Linked DNA regions of Anolis sagrei. The protein of the gene in region 1 interacts with the protein of each later gene in a biochemical or structural test. Links are inferred from orthologs where the notes say so. Each region holds a gene or a part of one and is shown on either strand. Other genes may lie near its edges.

Evidence for each region.
Region 2: the proteins of WASL (region 1) and PFN1 form a complex in vitro, tested with the Homo sapiens proteins (2 studies listed by BioGRID). The link is inferred for Anolis sagrei from reciprocal best matches to the Homo sapiens genes WASL and PFN1.

Annotation. Positions count from the first base shown.
Region 1 is NC_090025.1:127,455,178-127,463,368, forward strand, and holds the start of WASL (actin nucleation-promoting factor WASL), read left to right. Parts: upstream 1-4,791; 5' UTR 4,792-5,437; coding exon 5,438-5,560; intron 5,561-8,191. UniProt on the Homo sapiens protein: Regulates actin polymerization by stimulating the actin-nucleating activity of the Arp2/3 complex. Involved in various processes, such as mitosis and cytokinesis, via its role in the regulation of actin polymerization.
Region 2 is NC_090026.1:1,330,000-1,337,554, forward strand, and holds the start of PFN1 (profilin-1), read right to left. Parts: upstream 3,383-7,555; 5' UTR 3,163-3,382; coding exon 3,031-3,162; intron 1-3,030. UniProt on the Homo sapiens protein: Binds to actin and affects the structure of the cytoskeleton. At high concentrations, profilin prevents the polymerization of actin, whereas it enhances it at low concentrations. By binding to PIP2, it inhibits the formation of IP3 and DG.

The DNA.
Region 1 (8,191 bases):
ATAGAAACACAATACACATCTGTACCTGTGGAATGCACTATAAAATCCATATTCCTAGGTGTTCTTGACATTACAGCAGTGAAAAGTCTAAATGAGCGCTTGAATCTGCATGATTTTTACATGGGAATGTCCTAAATCCACTATGAAAACCCACACCCAATTCTGTACAGTTAAGAAAACCTCCAGATCAGATAATTGGCATGATTGCCACTTGTCATCATAATTATGAAAGCACACTAGAATTAGATGGTTAATTGGGCATTTACATGCAAAATAGTAGAGGTATTTGCCTGTGATTTTTTTGTTGTTTTTTGAGGGTGCCGTAGGCATATCTGTTAATGATGTGGTTCAGAGGCACTGATGTGACGTGTGATTTGTCGTCATATGCTAATGTTGGAGTGTTGTTGTTTTCAAAAAGTCAGAATCCAAATATATAGAGATTCATATATGCAAACTGACATCATTGAAAGAGACAAAAATTCAAATATCTGATTTATTTCTCCACATTGCAAACACGGCTGGTGGGGACGAGAGACAGGGCCTCCTCGGCCATGGCCCCCCACCTGTGGAATGCACTTCCAAATGAGATACGATCGACCCCATCCCTCCTGGCTTTCAGGAAGAAATTGAAATCGTGGTTCTGGGACCAGGTTTTCAGACAGCAGACATAAATCAGCACTTTGGTTGGAAATGGATTGGCAAGACGATATCTATGAAGATACGGTTTTATTGTTTAATTAATGTTTTATGTCCTGTCGAAGGCTTTCATGGCTGGAATCACTGGGTTGTTGTAGGTTTTCCGGGCTATATGGCCATGTTTTAGAGGCATTTTCTCCTGACGTTTCGCCTGCATCTATGGCAAGCATCCTCAGAGGTAGTGAGGATGCTCTGAGGATGCTTGCCATAGATGCAGGCGAAACGTCAGGAGAAAATGCCTCTAGAACATGGCCATATAGCCCGGAAAACCTACAACAACCCAGTTTTATGTCCTGTTTTAATTAATGGTTTATGTATTTTATGTATTTTAATGGCTTAATTTTTTTTTTGTATGTAATGGTTATTGTATTTAATTGTTTATATGTAACGGCATCGAATCGCTGCCAGTGTAAGCTGTCCTGAGTCCCCCTTTGGGGGTAGAAAAGAGACAGGGCAGAAATACCGGAAATAAATAAATAAACAAATAAACTCAATTCTACTTCAATTCTCTATGGGATCCAGTTTTCCCTGAAAAGAGTGTCATTAACCCATTTGTATCTCTCTATATCTGTTGCCCCACAGCAATAATATCAGAAAACTTGTTTCTTAATTTAATTTACTGTTTGTGGCTTGCTTCCAAGAATCATAGGGACCTGACAGAAGTGCCTTGCATGTTTTTGTATCACAAAATGCTTCTGGATTCAAAATTTTAATGAATTAGTTTTTTTAAAAACCTTGATTAGTTGATAGCATTTTAACAGTTATATTCGTAGCCCTGTACTTGGGATCTTCCTTTTTATGCTACAAGGATCTGAGTATTTTGTGGTTCAGTTTATAGGTGCTGATATTGGTGTGTATTCCACATGACTATGATTCTGATACCTTGGACCACCATAAAAGTCAATAACAAACATGAGCAATTCAAGCCTGAAATCTCAAATTATTAAACTACAGCAATTGTATCTTGGACTTTGTGTGAAAAAGGAGTCGTTGGAAAAAAAATGATTAACTTAAGGAAAGTGGAAGGCAATAAGGAAAGAGAAAGACAACCTTAGAGATGGTGGTTGTTGTGCACCTTAAAGTTGCTTCCTCAAAGATCATATTGTAGATGGTTGTTGTTCCTGTGTGCCTTCTAATCATTTCTGACTCATTGTGACTCTGACACTATCACAGGGTATTCTGAGACTGAGAGTGTGTGACTGGCCCAAGGATATTAAGTTGGTTTCCTGGCTGAGCGGAAAGCTTAACCCTGATCTTGAGTCATAGTCCAGTGCAAAAACCACTGAGGCCCCTTCTACGCTGCCTTAAAAATCCAGATTATCTGCTTTGAATTTATTTATTTATTTACTTCATTGATATCCCGTCCTTCTCACTTCACGGGGAACTAAGAACTGGATTATATATCAGTGTAGACTCCTGTAATTCAGTTCAAATCAAATAATCTGGATTATCTGTTTTGATAATCTGGATTATATGGCAGTGTAGATCAATCCTAAATCACACTGGCTCCATATGGCCTGATTTAATCAAGGATGCCACCACCCTGAAATTGCTAGAACTGAATGGAGCTCATTGCCATATAAAATCCACATTATCTGCTTTGAAATTGATTATATGGCAGTGCAATTATTAAATATTGCAATTATTAAAACAAGATCTGTTAAAACAATTCCAAACTCTCTGAAGATCCAACTGCATTAATTTGCGCATTATTATTATTATTATTATTATTATGCAATAACAATCCATAGCAACCACTTACATTTGCTGTGAGATTGGGAATAGCCAAATTTATAAGACGTCCTTTTACCCTTGCTTAAACTTTAAAAGAGGCACCTTCCACACAGCTGTATAAAATCCACATCGAACTGGATTATATGGCAGTATGGACTCAGATAATCCAGTTCAAAGCAGATATTGTGGGATTTTCTGTCTTGATATTCTGGGTTATATGGCTGTGTGGAAGGGCCTTGAGTTTCCGTATGGAGAGAAAAAGCGAGATATTAATAAACATCATAATTGGGTTGCTGTGAGTTTTCCAGGGTGTATGGCCATGTTCCAGAAGCATTCTCTCCTGATGTTTCACCCACATCTATGGCAAGCATCCTCAGAGGTTGAGGGGTCTGTTGGAAACTAGGCAAGTGAGGTTTATATATCTGTGGAATGTCCAGGGTAGGAGAAAGAACTTTTGTCTGCTTGAGGCTAGTGTGAATGTTGCAATTGGCCACCTGATTGCAGCCTGGGGGAATCCTTTGTTGGGAGGTGTTTGTTGGTTATGGGAGTTCTGTGTTCCAAGTTTGGTTCGATTCCATTGTTGGTGGAATTCAGAGTGCTTTCTGATCATAAGTGAACTATAAATCCCAGCAACCACAACTCCCAAATAATTTATTTATTTGATGCACTTATTATCCCAAATAACAAAACAATCCCCCCCAACCCCACCAGTATTCAAATATGGGAGTATTGGATATTTGTGCCAAATTTGGTCCAGTGTATGAAAATACATCCTGCATATCAGATATTTACATGACGATTCATAATAGTAGCAAAATGACAGTTATGAAGTAGCAACGAAAATGTTATGGTTGGGGGTCATCATATGAGGAACTGTATTAAAGGGTCATTGCATTAGCAAGGTTGAGAACCATTGCATTGGAGCAGGGGTCCTCAAACCTTTTAAACAGAGGGCCAGGTCACAGTCCGTCAAACTGTTAAAGGGCCGGATTATAATTTTTTTTAAAAAAATGAATGAATTCCTATGCACACTGCACAGATCTTATTTGTGGTGCAAAAAACACCTAAGACAATACAATAATTAAAATGAAGAACAATTTTAACAAATATAAACCTATTAGTATTTCAATGGGAAGTGTGGGCCTGATTTTGGCTGATGAGATAGGATTGTTGTTGTTGTTGTTCGCTTTCAACTCGATCCAGACTTAGGTTGACCCTGTGTGAGGACCGGGTAAATGACCTTGGAAGGCCGGATCTGGTCCCCGGGGCCTTAGTTTGAGGAACCCTGCATTAGAGCATGGATCCACTTTAAATCCAGTTTCTGCCCCCTTCAGAATTTTGGGGCTTATAGTTTAGGGAGGGGCCTTTAAACTGCTCAGCCAGGCAAGTCCTGGCCCTCACCAAAACTACAAACCCCAGAATTCTGCAGGAGACAGACACTGGATTTAAATTGGATCCATGCTCTAGGTCAGTGTTTCTCAACCTAGGAATTGGGACCCCTGAGGGGGTTGCGAGGGGGTGTCAGAAGGATCGCCAAAGACCATAAGAAAGCACAATATTTTCTGATGGTCATGGGGATTCCATGTGGGAAGTTTGAGCCAATTCTATCATTGGTGGAGTTCAGAATGTTCTTTGATTGTAATGAACTATAAATCCCAGCAACTACAACTCCCAAATGGCAAGATCTATTTTCCCCAGACTCCACCAGTGTTCACATTTGGGCATATTGAGTATTTGTGCTAAGTTTTGTCCAGATCCACCATCACATGAGTCCACAGTGCCATTTGGATATAGGTGAACTACAACTCCCAAACTCAAGATAAATGCCCATCAAATCCTTCCAGTGTTTTCCATTGGTCATGGGAGCCAAGTTTGGTTCAAATCCATCTCTGGTGGAGTTCAGAATGCTCTTTGATTAGAAGTGAACTATAAATCCCAGCAACTACAACTCCCAAATTACAAAATCAATCCTCCCCCAAACCCACTAGCGTTCACATTCGGGTGTATTGGGTATTTGTGCCCAGTTTGGTCCAGTGAATGAAAATGCATCCTGCATATCAGATATTTACATTATGATTTATAACAGTAGTAAAATGACTGTTATGGAGTAGCAATGAAAACAATATTATGGTTGGGTCGTCACCACAACATGAGGGACTGTATCAATTGGTCACGGCATTAGGAAGGTTGAGAACCACTGCTCTAGGTCTTGAGCAAGGTTCCACTTTAAATCCAGTTTCTGCCCGCTGCAGAATTTTGGGGCTTATAGTTTAGGGAGGGGACTTTAAACTGCTCAGCCAGGCAGGTCCTGGCCCTCACCAAAACTACAAACCCCAGAATTCTGCAGGAGGCAGACACTGGATTTAAAGTGCTCTAGTGTGATGAGGCTGTGCAGTTTGACACCTCTTGAACTGCCAGGCTGAGTGCTAAAGGATCCTGGGAGTCGTAGTTGGGTGAGGCATGGAACTACAACTCACAGGGAGCCATAGCACTGCGCCCTGGCAGTTAAAGCGGCGTCAAAGAGGGGGAAACCGACTGGGCCGGCGTTTCAGAAAGCTAGGCCGCAACCCGCGCCAGAGAGAGCAGGAGAAGGCGCTTTCCTCTCAGCTGCTCGTCCCCCCCTCTCTCTCTGTCTCTCCTTTTCCTTCTCAGGGAGGAGGAGGAGACCGGAAAGGCAAGCGCGGAAGGGGAGGCCAAGGCGGCGGCGGGGCCCTGCGAGGAAGAAGAAGACGCCTTCTCCGTTTCCGCGGCTCCCCTCCCGCGCCGCGCCTCTTGGTTTCGCCCGCGCCTCGCGCCCTGCCATGTTGGATTGAGCCGGGGACAAGTTAGAAGTTTAAGGAAGGAAGGCAGGGAGGAGGAGAGGGGGAAAGAGAGGCCGAGAGCAGAGGGGAGCCTCCTTCCTCTTCCTTTTCCTCCCTCCCTTCCTGGGCCACTGCTCTCCATGCCCCTCTGAGGGGCCTGCCTGCCTGCCTTCCTGCCTTCCTTCCCTCTCCGGCCTGGCCCCGCCATGAGCAGCAACAACAACGCCACGCAGCCCCCGCCGCCGCGGAGGGTCACCAACGTGGGCTCCATGCTGCTCACCCCGCAGGAGAATGAGAGCCTCTTCGGCTTCCTGGGCAAGAAATGCGTGGTGAGTGAAGGAGGGAGGGAGGGCCGCTGCGAGGCCTGCTCTGGCGGGAGGCAGACAGGGCCCTGCGCCAAGTGACAGCCCAGGGGGGCTGAGGCGGAAGTGGCCCCCTGGGGCGGGCGAGGGGCGGGCTGCGGCCTCTGAGGGGGCGCCTTGAAACTCCCCCCTGAGGCGCTTCCGTGACCAGGAGGACCTTCACCAGGGGAAACTTGAAGCCCTCCTCTGAGGTACTTCTGTCACTAGAAGGACCCCCAAAGGGGGGCTTTTTGAAACTCCCCTTTGAGACACTTCCATAACCAGGAAGACCTTCGAAACTCGCCTCTCATGTACTTTCATAACCAGAAAGACCTTCACCAGGGGAGACCTGAAGCTCTCCTTAAAGGCACATTAGAAGGGCTTCCAAAGGGGGGCTGTTTGAAACTCCCCTCTGAAGCACTTCCATAACCAGGAAGAACCTTTAAAGGGGGAGACTTGAAGCTCTCCTTATAGGCACATCTGTAACTAGAAGGACTTCCAAAGGGGGGTTATTCAAAACTCGCCTCTCATGTACTTTCATAACCAGGAAGACCTTCAAAAAGGGAGACTTGATGCTCTCCTCTGAGGTACACCTGTTACTAGAAGGACCTCCAAAGGGGGGGGGGGGTATTCGAAACCCGCCTCTCATGTACTTTCATAACCAGGAAGACCTTCAAAGTGGGAGACTTGAAGCTTTCCTCTGAGGTACTTCTGTTATTAGAAGGACCTCCAAAGGGGGGCTATTTGAAACTCCCCTTTGAGACAATTCCATATCCAGGAAGACTTTCAAAGGGGTAGACTCGAAGCTCTCCTTAGAGGCACATCTGTAACTAGAAGGACTTCCAAAAGGAGGTTATTCGAAACACGCCTCTCACATACTTTCATTACCAGGAAGACCTTCAAAAGGGGAGACTTAGAGGCATTTCTTTTCCCCAGGAAGTCTTTCAAAGGGAGGATTTGAAGCTCTCATCTGAGGCAACTTTGGGTCCCGTGAAGGAGAAAAGCAGGATATAAATAAATATTTATTATTATTTAATATTATGACTTCCATGACCAGGAGGATCTTCAGAAGGAGAAACTTGAAACTCCCCTCTAAGATATTTCCATAACCAGGAAGACCTTCAAAAGGGAGCTATTTGAAACTCCCCTCTAAGGTATTTCCATGACCAGGAGGATCTTCAAAAGGGGAGGCTTGAAGCTGTCCTCTGAGGCACTTATATTACTAGGAGGATCTTCAAAGGGGGCTATGTGAAACTCCCCTCTAAGGTACTTCCATGACTAGGAAGACCTTGAAAAGGAGAGGTTTGAAGCTCCCCTCTGAGGCTTTTATTTTTCCCAGGAAGACTTTCAAAAGGGGAGACTTGAAGCTCTCTTCTAAGGTACTTCCCTGACTAGAAGGATCTTCAGAAGGGAAGATTTGAAGCTGTCCTCTAAGGCACTTCTATTACTAGGAGGACCTTCAAAAGGGGGCTATTTGAAACCCCTCTGAGGCACTTCCATGACCAGGAAAACCTTCAAAGGAGGAGACTTGGAGCTCTCCTTAGAGGCACTTCTGTTACTAGAAAGACCTCCAAAGGGGGTTATTTGAAATTTCAAAAGACCTTCAAAAGGGGAGACTTGAAGCTCTCCTCTAAGGCCTTTTTTTTTTCCCCAGGAAGACTTTCAAAAAGGGAGACTTGAAACTACTCTAATGTACTTTTATTACCAGGAGGACCTCCAAAGGGGGCCTACTTCAGGCTCCCCCCGAAACACTTCCATTACCAAGAAGACCTCAGAAGGGGAGACTTGAATCTCCCCTCTAAGGAACTTCCATGTCCAGGAAGACATTCAAAGGGGAGGCCTAAAGCTGTCCTCTGAGGCACCTCTATTATCTGAAGGACCTCCAAAGGGGGGGGGGGGTATTTGAAGCTCCCCTCTGAAGCATTTCTGTTGCCAGGAAGACCTTCATTTGGGGAAACTTGAAGCTCCCCTCAGAGGCACCTCCATTACCGGGAGTACTTTCAACAGGGGGTATTTGAAACTCTTCTCTGAGGCTCTTCTGTTGCCAGGAAAATTGTAGCCTATGGCCCTTAAAAGGGGCAACATGAGATACTGCCATTGCCAGGAAGACCCCTATGGCGCTTGTTCCAGAGGCTGTGATATGATGTTTGTGGAGAACTAGAATTTTCACAGTTTGGGGAAGGTCCAAACAAGTCTCAGCTTTTCATCTCCCTGGGGTTCCCTTTGTGGGCGTCACAGAGAGGGAAAAGCAAGCAAACCAGAGCACCCCCGTCCCCCTGCTGAGCCTTTCTTTCCCACACAGCAGCTACTGGCTTCATTTTATTTTTCTTGCTCCTGGTGGGAGTGGGAATGGGAAACAAGCCAGGAGAGAAAAGGGCCCTACTGAGAACATACTCAGTAGAGTTTGTTGGGGAACAGGAGAGTGCTCTAACTTCCTTTCCAACCCCAAGGATTGGGTGAAGTCTTCCTCTAACACCCTAAAGGGATGCTCCTCAAACTGTGTGCTGTGGAATCATGGCAGTTGTAGCTTCACGAGCCCTTTAGCCTTCTCTGCCACAGAGTTCCTGTACCTCACCAAACTACAACACCTAGGATTCCATAATGTTGAGTCATGGCAGT
Region 2 (7,555 bases), on another chromosome or scaffold:
CCTCTTTCCCCTTTTCTTTCCTTTTTTTCCCCCTTCCTCTCTTCCGTCTCTTCATTCCTTCCTCCCCTTGTTCCCTCCCTCCTTTTCCCTCCTCTTTGCTCTCTTCTCCTCTTCCTTTTTTTCCTTTCGTTCCTTCCTTCCCTTGTTCCTTCCCCTCCCGCCGCTTTTGCCGCCACATAAAAAGGAGGAAGTGGGGGGGGGGGGTAAGCGGAATGTGCTTCTCTTCCCTCCACTGACCCCGCCTAGATCCTGGAGAATTAGGGGGGGGGGCAAAAACCACAAAGCCTGGGCAGGAATGAAAGAAAGAAGGGCTTCCTAAGATGTGAGCTCTCCTTGAGTAAAGGCATGCCAAGCCCCCCCCCCCCTCCTCTCCCCAAAGCAGAAGCAGCCCCACCCCATCTTTGGACCCTTTCGATGCACCAAAGATCTTTTGGAGGAGGGAAGAATAAGACCCCCCCCCCCTTCAAAAAGGAACTAGAGACAGGCTTCTTGGAGGGGATGCTGGGTGTTGTAGTCCTTCCCCTTTAAGGAGAGGAGGGCGCCATTCTGGCAGAAATGCCTTTTTGGGGAGTTGTGGGGGGGGGGAGAGAGAGCAAGGCCCACAATCCCCTTCTGCGGCGGAAACAGCAAGTGGGAGGGGGATTTCCGGTTTTTTGGGGGGGGGAGGGGGTGAATGTCCTTTCTCTTCGCCTCCAAGGAACTCTCCCCTCCCAAACAGGAAAGGAAGTATGACGTGGCACTTTGGGGAGGGGGGGAGGGGGCAAGAAGGCCTTCGTGGGGGGGGGAGCCAGGACCCCCCCCTTTTCGGTCCCTTGAAAGAGGAGGGGCTTCTTGTTTCCTCATTCCTTTCCATGACATCACTCCCCATTCTGTACTTTTAGTATAATTTCTCGAGATCCTTCTGATGTGATTTGAATAGGGGGAAAATTATGATTTCTTTTGGCTGCCCTTTTAAATTAAGTGTATATTGATATTATTTATGTGTTGTTTTGAAAAAAAAATTGGCCGCCCTTTTAAGTTAACTTCATTAAGTTTATATAGATGTTATTTATGTGTTTTTATAATTTTTTTGGTCGTTCTTCTATGTTAAATTCCTATGGATGTTATCTATGTGTTGTTTGGATGTGTTTTGTTGCCGACAATGGCGTTAGTAATATTTATTTATTTTATTTGCAGCATTTATATGCTGTCCTTCTCGCTCCGAAGGGGGCTCAGAGCGGCTTACAAGATATATATATATATATATATATATACACACACACACAATACATTATACCATTAGCACAGTACAATATCAGCGCTATACATCACTATATTGTACTATACAATTATATTGTAATATTATTAGTAATATTACTTGTAATATACAATATTATATATATATATATATATATATATATAATCCCTATTCTTTCCTTCCTTAAGTTTATATGGATATTAGTTGTGTTTTTTATATTTTTTTGGCTGCCTTTTAAAATAAAGTGTATATGGATGTTATTTATGTTTTGAATTTATTTTTTTTGGTCGCCCCTCCTATTAATGTTATTTATGTTTTGATTTGTTTGGTTGCTCACTTTGGCGTGAGTAATAGTAACTATTCTTCTTATTATCCCTATTCTTTCCTTTCTTAACTTTATATGGATGTTATTTATGTTTTGAATTTTTTTGGCCGCCCTTTTAAATTAAGTCTATATTGATGTTTTGAATTTATTTATTTTTTTGGTCACCCTTCCTATGGATGTTATTTATGTATTGTTTTGGTTTGTTTGGTTGCTCACTTTGGCCCAATAGTAACTATTGTTATTAACCGTATTCTTTTCTTCCTTGGCCCAAACCCCAAACATAATTTATTTTTTTCTGACCACTCTTTTCAGTTAAGTTCTAATGGATATTATTTATGTATTGCTTTGGTTTGTTTGTAATAATAGTAACTATTATTACTGGCATTATTGGTATTATTTTTTCTTCCTTGGCCCAAAGACCGCTTTTTTCAGTTAAGTTCATATGGATGTTATTTATATATTGTTTTTGTTTGTTTGCTCACTTTGGTCTGAGTAATAGTAACTATTATTATTGGTATTATTATTATTTTTCATCCTTGGCCCAAAGACCCCCCCCCTCCCAAATATATATATTTTAATTTTTTTCTGACCTCTCTTTTCAGTTACATTTAAATGGATTTCAGCTAAGTTCGAATGGATGTTATTTCTGTATTGTTTTGGTTTGTTTGCTCACTTTGGCATGAGTAATAGTAACTACTATTATTGGTATTATTTTTTCTTCCTTGGCCCAAAGATCCCCCCCCTAAAAATATATTTAATATTTTTTCTGGCCGCTCTTTTCAGCTAAGTTCCTATTTATGGTTGCTCACTTTGCGGTGAGTAATAGTATCTATTATTATTGGTATTATTATTATTATTATTATTATTATTTCTTCCTTGGTCCAAAGACCCCCCCTAAAAATATATATTTTATTTTTTTCTAACTGATCTTTTCAATTAAGTTCGAATTGACGTTATTTATGTGTTGTTTTGGTTTGTTTGGTTGCTATTCTTATTCTTTCCTTCCTTGGCCCTAAATTTTCAAAAAAAAAAGGGGGGGGGTTGTGACCTTTGGGGTGTGGCAAGGAAGGAAGTAAGGAAGGAGAGGGGGGGCTACTTCCGGGTCACATTCCTGACCCTCCTAACGGTCTCTTTCTTCGCCTCAGAGCCACTTCCTTCCTCTTCTGCTTGGAGGCGCCCTCCAGCCGCGTGGGACTACAACTCCCATCATTCCTAGCGGCCTCAGGCCCTTTTCTTTTCCCCCCCACAGCCGGGACTACAACTCCTATCATTCCTAGCGGCCTCAGGCCCTTTCCTTTTCCCCCCACAGCCGCTTAAGCGGCTGTGGGGGAAAAGGAAGGGGCCTGAGGCCGCTAGGAATGATGGGAGTTGTAGTCCCGGCTGTGGGGGGGGAAGGAAAGGGCCTGAGGCCGCTAGGAATGATGGGAGTTGTAGTCCGCGAGGCCTGAGGGGTTTTTGGGGTACTTACCGTGATGGAGGCGAAGGTCTTTCCGGGGGCGGAGGCCCAGACGGAGGGCGCCTCCTTGTATCCCACGATGGCCGCGTCCTGGCACGTGTCGTCCGCCATCAGGCTGTCGATGTAGCAGCTCCAGCCGCTCATGGCCCGCGCTGAGGGAAAGGCGAGGGAGGCCTGCCCGGCGGAAGTCAAGCCAAGAGGCACGCGGAGGAGAGGAGACGAGAGGAGGGCGCTCCTGCCTGCCTTGTTTCCTTCCTTCTCGGCCTGCCTCTGCCTCAGGAGCCGGGCTCGGGAGCTCCTCCTCAGGGCGCGGCGGGAGCGGGACTCAGGCCGGGCGGGCGCGAGGGCGGCAGAAGAAGGACTGAGGGGAAGGGAAGGGGGCGGGGCCTATCCCTCCCCGCGCAGGCGCACTACGCGCAATTTCGCCTCAAGGCCGGGCTCGTTGCTCCCCGCGCAGGCGCAGAACTCCGCCCTCTGCGCCCCCCTTTGGCTCAAGGGAGAAATCTTTCCTCCCCGCGCAGGCGCAGAACTCCGCCCTCGCGCTCTTCTTCCAAAGCGGGGGCGGGGTTTCTTCCCTCTTGCGCCCCCCTTTGGCTCAAAGGAGAAAGCTTAACTCCCCGCGCAGGCGCAGAACGCCCTCCTTCGCTTAAGGATGGGGAAGCTTTCCTCCCCGCGCAGGCGCAGAACTCCGCCCTCGCGCTCTTCTTCCAAAGCGGGGGCGGGGTTTCTTCCCTCTGCGCCCCCCTTTGGTTCAAAGGAGAAATCTTTCCTTCCCGCGCAGGCGCAGAACTCCGCCCTCGCGCTCGTCTTCCAAATTGGGGGCGGGGTTTCTTCCCTCTGCGCCCCCCTTTGGCCTAAGGAAGAGTAGAGGAAATCTTTCCTCCCCGCGCAGGCGCAGAACGCTCCTTTAGTGAAACGAAAAGGCAAAGGCGGGGTTCTTTCCCCACCCGCGCAGGCGCAGAACGCGCTCCTTGGTCTCAGGGCCGGGCTCTTTGCTCCTCGCGCAGGCGCAGAACTCCGTCCTCGCGCTCCGTCAGTTAAAAGAAAAAGGCGAGGGCGGGGCTCTTTTTTCTCCCCCGCGCAGGCGCAAAACGCCTTCCTTCGCTTACAGTTAGGGAGGCTTTCCTTCCCGCGCAGGCGCAGAACGCTCCGTCAGTTAGAAGAGTGGGGCGGCTTTCTTTCTGCGCAGGCGCAAAATGCCGCTTTTTTTCCAAGGCGAGGGCAGGGCTCTTTTTTCCCCCGCGCAGGCGCAGAACGCCTTCCTTAGCTTAAGTATGGGGAAGCTTTCCTCCCCGCGCAGGCGCAGAACACTCCGTCAGTTAAGAGATAAGGCGGCTTTCTTTCTGCGCAAGCGCAAAATGCCGCCCTCTCGCTTTCTTTCCAACGCGGGGGCGGGGCTTCTTCCTCTCTGCGCAGGCGCACGACGCTCTCTTGCGCTTAAGGGCGGAGTTTCTTTCCTCCTCGCGCAGGCGCAGAATGCGCTCCTTGGGTTAAGGACGGGACTTTTCCCCCTGCGCAAGCGCAGAATGAAAAAGGCGAGGGCGGGGTGCCTTCCTCCCCGCGCAAGCGCAGAACGCCGCTTTGGCGTCCCTTCGGTTAAGGGCGAGGCTCCTTCCTATCCGCGCAGAGGCACAGAAAAGGCGGGCTTGCTTCCTTGTTCGCGCAGGCGCAGAACGCCCTCAGTGAAAAAAGCGAGGCGAGGCGGCTTCCTTCTTGCGCAGGCGCACACGCGCTGTCCTCTCCCGCGGCACCACCTCCAGTGGCCGCTAGGGGCGCGTTTGGGACTTCAACTCCCAGAATTCCTCACAGTCTCAGGCTTTTCCCTTTTCACCCTCATCTGTTGAAGTCCAAAAAACCTGAAGGAATCCCCCAAATTGGCCCATGCCTGCTTTAAGGACTTGAGGAGGGCATTCCTTTGCTTTTTATTGTTATGGTGCAGAGGCTGAGTGGCCATCTGTTGGGAGGGATCTGATGGTGTCCTTGCAAAAGAGGGTTGGACTGGATGGCCTTTGGAGAGAGGCCCTTCCAACTCTATGAGTCTAATCATAATATTAATGGGTAATAATATAATAGTAATTCTGCCTCCTGCTTTGCAAGAGAGGGTTGGACTGGATGTCCCTTGGGGTCCCCTCCAACTCCCAAAATTCTTATTTTCCAATGCAAGACTTATATACACCCACTAAAACTAATTTCCCCAATCCCCTAAAATTGTATGTGTGTCTCCTGTGCTAATAATATAATATATCGTATATACATATAATATTTATAATATTATAATGTAATGCAATATAGTAATAATATGATATTATAATTATATATCTATATTACATGTAATATTACTAATAATATTACCGTCTCACCCGCTTCATAGGAAACCTGCTACAAAACAGGAGCTTTTTTGTTGAGTTCCAGGGCCAGAGAAGCAGATGGCGGAAACAGAAGAACGGCCTGCCTCAGGGGAGCGTGCTCGCTCCATCCATGTTCAACATCTACACAAATGACCAGCCACTGCCAGAAGAGACAGAGAGTTTCATCTATGCTGATGATCGTGCCATCACCACTCAAGCAGGGAGCTTTGAGATGGTAGAACAGAAGCTCTCCGAAGCACAAGATGCTCTTACTGCCTATTACAGGGAAAACCAGCTGATCCCCAACCCATCTAAAACACAGACATGTGCCTTTCATCTCAAGAACAGACAAGCATCCCGAGCTCTGAGGATCATTTCGTGGGAAGGAATCCCACTGGAGCATTGCAGTGCACCCAAATACCTGGGAGTCACTCTGGACCGTGCTCTGACCTACAAGAAGCACTGCCTGAACATCAAGCAAAAAGTGGATGCCAGAAACAATATCATACGAAAGCTGACTGGCACAACCTGGGGATCACAACCAGACACAGTGAAGACATCTGCCCTTGCGCTATGCTACTCTGCTGCTGAGTATGCATGCCCAGTGTGGAACACATCTCACCACGCTAAAACAGTGGATGTGGCTCTTAATGAGACATGCCGCATTATCACGGGGTGTCTGCGCCCTACTCCACTGGAGAAATTACACTGCTTAGCCGGTATCGCACCACCTGACATCCGCCGGGAAGTGGCAGCCAATAGTGAAAGGACCAAGGCAGAGACATCTCCAGCTCATCCCCTGTTTGGGTATCAGCCAGCACGTCAACAACTTAAATCAAGAAATAGCTTCCTAAGATCTACAGAAACAGTCGTAGGAGCACCTCAGCAAGCGAGAGTCCAAAAGTGGCAGGCTCAAACCCATGGCTGATACCAAATGAGAGACTCCCCCCTGGACACACAGAAGACTGGGCGACTTGGAAGGCGCTGAATGGACTGCGCTCTGGCCCCACGAGATGCAGAGCCAACCTCAAGAAATGGGGCCACAAAGTGGAATCCTCGACATGCGAGTGTGGAGAAGAGCAAACCACTGACCACCTGCTGCAATGCACCCTGAGCCCTGCCACATGATGCACAAAGGAGGACCTTCTTGCAGCAACACCAGAAGCACTCCAAGTACCCAGATACTGGTCAAAGGACATTTAATCAACTACCAAGTTTGCAAAATTTGTGTTTTTTAAATCTGTTTGTTTGTTTTGTTCTGTTAGAAATGTAATACAATGGTCTGGTTGCCCCTGACTCGATAAATAAATAAATCTCACAAATGAACATGACATTTATATATATATAGATCTGTCTCTATCTGGCTGAGAATGAATGCAGAAGGTGCAGCAAAGCAGCTGCAAGCCTTGCTGAGCCTTGCCTGTGTGGCCAGGTGACTCACAAAAGTGGGTGAGGATTCAGGAAGTGGTGAATGGAGGAGGGAGGCAGGAAGTGGGCCCCACCTTTCGACCTTCAGACACCCCCCCCCAAAAGAAGCCATTGTTCCATTGAGAAACCTTGAAAGGAAGAGGTGGGGGAGAGAGAAAGGATGTTGCAAGCATTGCAAAGCATTGCAAAGATCCTGGCCTGATGCATCTCTGCAGCATGTGCAACTCCTCCATCATTGCAATGCAAATTTTGCTCCTGGGTTATCAATGCCATTTCCTAATTCAGTGTTTCTCAACCTTCCTAATGCCACGACCCCTTAATGCGGTTTCTTATGTTGTGGTGACCCCAACCATCAATTTTTTTTTGCTGCTACTTCATAACTGGAATTTTGCTCCTGTTCTGAATTGTCATGTAAATATCTTACATGCAGGATATATTTGCATTCACTGGACCAAACTGGGCACAAATACCCAATCATACAACCAAATTTGCATACTGGTGGGGTTGTGGAGAGGATTGATTTTGGCATTTGGGAATTGTAGTTGCTGGGATTTATAGTTCACCTCCAATCAAAGAGCATTCTGAACTCCACCAATGATGGAATTGAACCAAACTTGGCACACAGAACTCCCATGAACAACAGAAAACACTGGAAGGGTTAGCTGGACATTGACCTTGAGTTTTGGAGTTGTAGTTCACCTACATCCAGAGATCACTGTGGACTCAAACAATTATGGATTTGGACCAAACTCTACACAAAT